Linked DNA regions of Arabidopsis thaliana. The protein of the gene in region 2 interacts with the protein of the main gene of each other region in a pairwise test. Each region holds a gene or a part of one and is shown on either strand. Other genes may lie near its edges. The genes, in order: RGS1 and AT4G32285.

Evidence for each region.
Region 1: the proteins of AT4G32285 (region 2) and RGS1 interact in a two-hybrid assay, tested with the Arabidopsis thaliana proteins (one large-scale study listed by BioGRID).

Annotation. Positions count from the first base shown.
Region 1 is NC_003074.8:9,530,452-9,534,376, forward strand, and holds the start of RGS1 (REGULATOR OF G-PROTEIN SIGNALING 1), read left to right. Parts: upstream 1-2,161; 5' UTR 2,162-2,431; coding exon 2,432-2,511; intron 2,512-2,947; coding exon 2,948-3,068; intron 3,069-3,163; coding exon 3,164-3,227; intron 3,228-3,308; coding exon 3,309-3,393; intron 3,394-3,497; coding exon 3,498-3,571; intron 3,572-3,665; coding exon 3,666-3,925. Other genes in the region: AT3G26085 (CAAX amino terminal protease family protein), read left to right, coding at 391-460, 551-933, 1,010-1,070, 1,166-1,290, 1,372-1,434, 1,519-1,643, 1,805-1,946.
Region 2 is NC_003075.7:15,583,435-15,587,359, reverse strand, and holds the start of AT4G32285 (ENTH/ANTH/VHS superfamily protein), read right to left. Parts: upstream 1,918-3,925; 5' UTR 1,489-1,917; exon of another isoform or gene 1,387-1,488; 5' UTR 1,358-1,386; coding exon 1-1,357. Other genes in the region: IAA29 (indole-3-acetic acid inducible 29), read right to left, coding at 2,732-2,807, 2,913-3,003, 3,109-3,437, 3,622-3,881.

The DNA.
Region 1 (3,925 bases), on a different chromosome or scaffold from region 2:
TTGTTCTGTCTCTCTATTCATCATGTATGTAAAAATCTAATAAGAGAGAATAAAAAGAGACTAGCTTTTGTCAATGATTCAACTTGTTTTGATCGACATTGCACCACATTAGATTAAAAAAGCTCTAAACTTTGAATTCGGTACAGAAAATCAGAAAAGGACTCATGTCCTCTTCTTTTGAAATATGTTACAATAAAAATTTGGTTTCATTTCTTCTTCTTTCTTGGTGCGTTTTCTCTGATAAACGACGCCGTATGAAGCTGGCGAGACACAGACCTCTCATTTCGACGCTTTCTTCTTCGTGAAACTCTTCATTTGTTTTATATTGGAAACAGAGTCTCTCTTATGAATCAAAGCGACAAACTTTGAGAAGGCAGGCGAAAATCTCGGATGGGTTCCATCGCTCTGCAATCTTGGAGCAGAGGAGCTTCAACTTCTCTTCATCTCCTTTTTCGTCCAGGTAGGTAAGTGCGATTCCTAACTTGATATGATCATATATATGAGAATTCGACAAAGATTTTTGGTTGAAATTTGCTTACTTGATGATCAGTTGGCTCGAACCCTAAGCTATATGATGCTCGAAGAGTACAAGTAAGATTCTTTAATGTTGCCGCTTCTTGGTCCGAACAGATGATCTCTTATACTATAGTCTGTTTATTTTGTCTTTTGGGTTTTAAGTTTGATGTAAGAGCCTCTTCAAGTCGTAAATCACTTAAGAAACTCAAAAGAGAGTCACAACAAGGTAAAGACATAGGCTTAAGAAATGTTACAGATGAAGAAGTTTCTTCTCCAAGATTTGAGGAAGCTCAAGTTGATTCTTCAACTTCAAAGGACTCCATTGATGTTTTTGTTGCTGCTCCTCGAGACAAAGTGCTTCAGGCTTGCACTGTAACTTCCGGTTTGATGGCTGCACTAGGTCTGATCATCAGAAAGGTGAATCCCAAATCTGAAAGTTTATGATTTTGTGATTCTAGCATTTGTATCTTGCTGATTTGGTTACCGCTTGCAGGCGTCTCATGTTGCTTCGACTGAAGGATTACTGGTTCCAGACTGCTCTATAGATGTACCATGTAACATCTCGGAAAACGATTATGTTGTGTACTAAGAATCCTTTGAGAGATTCAGTAACCAAAACATGTTTTGTATTGCATGATCTTTCTTGCAGTTGGGTTTGAAACTTGGCATCTCGGTTTAATTGCTGGAATCGTTGTGTTTATATCGTCAAGTAGGTTCTTGCTACTTAAATCTTGGCCAGATTTTGCTGATTCTAGTGAAGCAGCAAACCGACAGGTCAAAACATTACACATTATATACATTTATACGATTCTTTAAACTCCGCTTATTGTCTCCTTTGGTATTCACTACTTGCAGATTCTCACTTCCCTCGAACCTCTAGATTACCTTGTTGTTGCAATGTTACCGGGAATAAGTGAGGTAACAATAAACAATCACAATAAAACACAGAAAGGCTCTCCTTTAGAAAATGTCGTTCATTGGTTTGATTTGGTGTATTCACAGGAGCTGCTGTTTAGAGGTGCATTAATGCCTTTGTTCGGAACTAATTGGAATGGTATTGTAGCGGTTGGCCTCATTTTCGGTTTACTTCATCTCGGGAGCGGAAGAAAGTATTCTTTTGCAGTTTGGTAAGCCGTTTTTACTGAACATTTTGGTACCTCAATGCTGATGAGAATTGCGTAGACCGAATCTTGATATTAGATGATTGCCTTTAACATGTTCTTGCATCTCTCTATCACATTTCCGAGGTTTTCCTATTGAATTCTTTGCGGTTTCTTGAAATTTTCAGGGCTTCGATTGTCGGTATAGTCTACGGTTATGCAGCTGTTTTGTCGTCGAGTCTTATCGTTCCAATGGCCTCGCACGCACTCAACAATTTGGTGGGAGGTCTGTTGTGGCGATATAGTTCCAAGATCAAGTCATTGGAGTGAAATAAACAAAATTTACAACAGGGTTGAATTAAAAAAGTATACAATTTTAATGGGTGGGTTTGTGAAATCTCTCAATAGTATAGGGTGGTTATGTCAAAAATCTATAATAGAGGGTGGTTATTGTAATTTTAATGTACCAACTTGTCACAAAGGACAAGTATGAAAAATCTATAATTATAGAAGTGAAAAGTGAAAAACCAATCAGAATTGTTACCGGAAAAAGGAAGTGTCTTCTGGTCAAAAAAGTCAGAGAAGAAGAGAGAAACGTGAACAATGAAGAGACAGAGACGTCTCTTCTCTTATGCGAAAGTGTGAATCTTTTAAAGCTTTTTGTTTCAACATCGATAAATGAAGTTTCTTTTATTGAATTTATAGAAATTTGCACACTTTACCTTGACATTAAAGCAACAAGCTTTGAAACCAAATAAAATCTCAAAAACCCAGAAAGCGAGTGGAGAAGAGAGAGCTGATATGCTACAATAGAAATGGCGAGTGGATGTGCTCTACATGGTGGTTGTCCCAGCGATTACGTCGCCGTCGCAATTTCAGTCATCTGCTTCTTCGTGTATGTGTTCGAGCTTAAAAATCCCATTTTTGGGTTTTAGTTTTGAAGATCTAGATTTTTCATTTACTGGGTTTGCTTGTTGACTCTTGACTTGAGTCAAAATCTCGAATTTTGTGTCTTTAATCGTTTAAAATTTTCATACGATGTCTCTCTTTGCTATTTTAACTCTTTGTATTGTAAGTGTTTGATGTTATGTATCAAAAGATCTGTCTTTTGTTTCGTTTCAGTTTCTTTTAGCTGGGAATTAGATGGTTTCAGTATCTTGATAGCAAGATTCATATATTATGTCGGAATCGATTATTGAACTTAGATTTGAAGTTCAAAAGCTTGATTTAATGGACTAATTGAGTGGATTTGTATCATGAGTTAACTTCCAAGTAGTTCAATTTCTCTATTAAGTTGATTCTATCTGATGGATTTCACTTTGTTTATTTAGGCTGTTATCGCGCTCAGTGTTACCGTGTTTGATTCATAAGGCTCCTCGTACTAACAGTAGCAGTTTCTGGATCCCTGTTATTCAAGTTATCTCCAGCTTCAACCTTCTCTTCTCAATTATGGTTAGACTACTTGACTTGATGATTCCGTTGCTCTTAAGAATCACTTCATTTGTTGAGTTTCTACACTAATAGACTGTTTTATATTTAATTTTCAGATGTCAGTTAATTTGCTTCGATTCAGGACGAAACATTGGTGGCGATATTGCTATCTTTGGGCAGGTTTGTTTGGAAACCATGATTCCTCATCTTCGTAAACAAATTGACAGTTATATCAATAAGTCTTGTATAATTTGGTTTCAGTGTGGATTGAAGGACCACTTGGGTTTGGTTTGTTGATGAGCTGCCGTATAACTCAGGCATTTCAACTATACTTCATATTTGTCAAGTGAGGTTCAATGTTGATCAAAATGTTTTTGGATTCCAATTCTATCTCTATTGGTGTAATTGAGTTTAATGCTGTTTGGTTGTTACATATTCTTTGCAATGTAGGAAACGTCTACCTCCGGTAAAATCATACATTTTCCTCCCCCTTGTTTTGTTGCCATGGATCTTCGGAGCTGCAAGTAAGAATTGTTCTGAACGTTATATGTACTGAGCAGTTCTTGGTTTCTCTTGTTTTGGATAATAATAACTCAAAGCTTTTGATTTTGCATTTAGTTATCCACGCAACAAAGCCTCTCAACGATAAATGCCACATGGGTCTTCAATGGACTTTCCCAGTTGCAGGCCTTCATGCTCTCTATGTCCTTGCTTTAATTGCATTCACAAGAGCAGTTCGACATGTAGAGTTTCGTTTTGACGAGCTTAGAGATCTCTGGAAAGGAATTCTCGTCTCAGCCACTTCAATCGTTATATGGGTAACAGCGTTTGTGTTGAATGAGATTCATGAAGAAATCTCTTGGCTTCAGGTTGCTTCA
Region 2 (3,925 bases):
AGAAAGCTTCCCATTTTCCGTTATTAGCGGGAGGGCCAGCAAAAAGCGCAAGAGCAAACTTGTTTCCTTGGTCATCGCCAGAGACATCATCTTCTCTCAAGTTAACTAGATCATCTGTTACTTGTGGTTGCTGCGGTTTAGGCTCTGGTGCAGGTGGAGGTGGAGGAGTGTGATTCTCAGGAGGAGGAAGCGCTTTGATCTCATTCATATCCACTGGCTCTTCCACAGGAGGAGCAGGAGCAGGAGGAGCTTCAATCTCTTTCCTCTCAGGACTTTTGGCCCTCTTGGCTCTGTCTCTCACAAACTCTTCTAGTGTCTCCAACAGCTTGCTCGTAATCCTCTGAACCTCAGGGTACTCAGAAGATCTCGCCACTCCAGTATCCTTACACCAATGGTAAAACGCAATGAGCTCATCAATCTGTTTAGCCGCACTAGCATAAGCATCAAAGGCCTTAACACAATCAGTATACTCCATATCAAAAAACTTGTCAAGCAGAACAGCCAAGACCTCACAGATGTCAGCGTAAAGCCTAAAACTCTCTTTCACAACCGGGTACATGGCAATCAAGATCATCCGACTGTTTTTGGCTAAACCAGTGGGTCGACAAGATAAAAACCGATCAAGCAGCCTCTGCAAATGACCCATCTTTCCAAAAATCCTCTCAGGTGTCATCTCTCTTAAAGGAGTAACAGATTTCTTCTCCTCTCTTGCTCCAATCTCATTCACATCTCCAAAAGACCTCGACCTCTTAGGCATACCAAAACCATTACCAGTCTCATAATCATAAGTTCTTGGAGGAGGAGACCTAAAATCATCCCTAGATCGATTATATCCATCATCACCATTACTTTGGTGACTACTACTACTACCACCACCATTTCTCCCTCTTCTCTCAAAAAGAGCCAATTCAAGCCTCTGATCCAAGTAACTAGCATATGTCCTAACGAAAGCAGAGTGATCCCAAGAGCTAGAATGAGCCTCATCACGAAAATCAGACATATTAAGAATCCTCGTACCTCGTCGTGTAGCGTAGAGGATCTCTTCCTGAAACAGTGGATCTCCTTCGTTAAGAAGACGATGGACAAGCATAAGAGCCTTGAGAGCAACGATCCAGTCACGCGTCTTCTTAAGACGGCGTGAAACAGAGGTGACACAGGCGTGAACGTAGCCACGGGAGAGTGAAGTTAAGCTAAGGATCTCGCGGATATACTTGTCACTAGATTGATCATCGTCGTGGCTTGTAGCTTTCACGATCGCAACTTCCAGATCTGGAGCCATGTTGCTAGCTACCTTCGCTATGCCGATACTAGTCTGATCCTTAACAACTCCGATCGCTTTTCGCATGCTTAGCGCCATGATTCCACTACTACTTAAGGATTCGAATTCTTCAAAAACCACAAACAAAAGAAAAAGTAGCAATTTGGTTGAGAAATTAATGGAGAATCCAACGAGAAATTGTGATTGAATTTTTCTTTGGAGATAAATACCGATTCGCTAGATCTGCGGGGGGAGAGAGAATGATTAAGAGGTGGTAGGTAGAAGAGAAAAATGAAGAAGTCGCCGGCGGAAGATAAGGAGACGGGATCGGGATCTGAGATCAATGAAGAAGGTGAAGAAGATCTATCTTTTCTCAAAAGAGAAGATGACTAAAGGAGCAGATTCGCCGAACCAGTCAAAATGAAGTGTCTAAAGACAGAGAGACACCAATTTAATAAGAGAGTTATGAGTCCAAGCTGACGTGGAGTGATTAGAGCCGTCGATCTGAAGAGACAGATAGAGATGCGAAGGTTTGGTTTGTGACCGGGATTGACGGGAGCCGTGTGTCCGAGAGAGACTCAAGTCTGAACACCGAACGTATCGGTGAAGATGTCTTTTCTTTTTGTTTTGTTTGGTAATTAAATAATTTTCAATTTTTGTAGGGATCTTTTTACAGTTGTTTGATTGTTTCATTCATAACTTTAGTAGATCTAAAGTTGTGTTTCTCTAAATTTCACTAAAATATCTATTTTCCTTATATAAAGATTATGTTTGTCATATTATTTAATTTAAAGATTATAAACTTATGATATAATTTTATGCAAATTGTAAATATAATAACCATTTTAATAAAAGATTTTCTTATATATCATTCATTATTGATTAATATTTTAATCTAAATTACGCATTTTAAGCTAAGATCAATAATATTCATTTTAAATTTTGTTATCAGCTATTCAGCTAATTAAATTGTTTAAGAAATGTATCAGTTTTTATGTCATTTTTTTTCTGTTTACTCATGCTTTTTTTTTTCCCCTTGTTTACTCACAATTTAAAATCGTACTCCGATCTAATTCAAACCAAAATTTAATTACTTGGAAATCTCTTGAATCACATAAAGTGACATACTTACTTGTGTAAAACCCGGACGTCCGCAACCATTACATTCTTATGGTTTCTCAATCAAACAAGTCTATGAAAAAAAAATCAATTCGGTACACACAAAAAGTCTAACATCTTAATTATTATCAGCTAGTCTGTCTTTGACAATTCATGAGTTTTTTTTACTTTTGAATTTTCTTTAGCTTTTTGTCCATGTGTTAGCCATGGATCAGATAACAACAGATTATAAACCATTGGATTTGATACTAAGAACTAGAAGAATAGAGGAAAAAGATCGAGTGGAAATTTAATCAAATGATAGACATTTTAATTACAAAATAAAAAATAATGGTCCGATTTGAACGCCTATCCTTAAAACAAACATCTTGTATATGCACACGGTCGATCTCTAATTATTGATATCCGATGAACAGATTCCGCAAAGATCCTACAAAACCAAAACAACAAGTTAAGTATCAATATATAAGAAAGAGAGTATAGTAGTCATTACTCAATAAGTCATTTTTCTTGAAATATAGAGAAGTAAACTTACTTCCATGTAACATCCCCTCGAAGTAGCCAGTCACCCTCTTTCCCTTGGAAGGTGAATGTATAATTTGTATCTTCTCTGTCGCAATCTTCATCTGATAACCCAAAATTAGATTCAATAGTAGTAAAAAGTTACGTTCTATTTTCAATTGTTTATAGGTTTCTTACTCTAGATTTTGATAAACGTAATTAGTACTTACATTCGGTAAACATAGTGATCAAGGAGTTAGTGAGGGACTCGTAAGAGTTAAAAAGCTTGATATCCACTTTTCTTGCTATTGCCACACCATCCATCTTAACCTTAACATACATTGATGATCTTGATGATATTGACGAAGAAGATGATGATCCCACAGTAGCCGTTGTTGGATTAGATATGTTGTTGTTCATCGCCGTGATCCTCCTACCACGATGATGATACGGGCAATGATGGTGATTACGAATATGACGATGATGATAACTACCATACTTTATCATACATGTTTTTACTGGTGGCCATCCAACAACTTCGCTATTTTCCTCCTCATCACTAAATATTAAAATTAATTATATGTTACAAAAAAATACAAATTATGCCTCTCCATTGAGTTAACTACAAGTCTACAACATCATAACATTTTTGAAAACTACGGAGTCATTTATTATATAATAATACTAGATGTAACTACTTTAACCTAATTGTTGTCAAATACTAAAATAGTCAAGGTACTCACTCGTAAACTATTGAAGACTCGGATTCCAGAGGATCTTCGTCTTCCTCGTTGGGCTGGCCATTCAAGGCAAACAAACGCTGTTTTGGCATATAACAATTTTCCTCCACATTCCCTAACCCAAACGTCGCCTCAAAACGCAGTTTTTCGGTACCCAAACAAGACGCAGCACCCTCGATCGCACAATGCTTGTTGAGGTCAAAGTTAAACCCTAACTTGGAAGATTTATGAGGTGAAAGAGATAGACCAAGATCCAACTCCATTTCTAAGGCAGCTTCGTCTTTGATGAAACTAAAAGCTTTTGTTC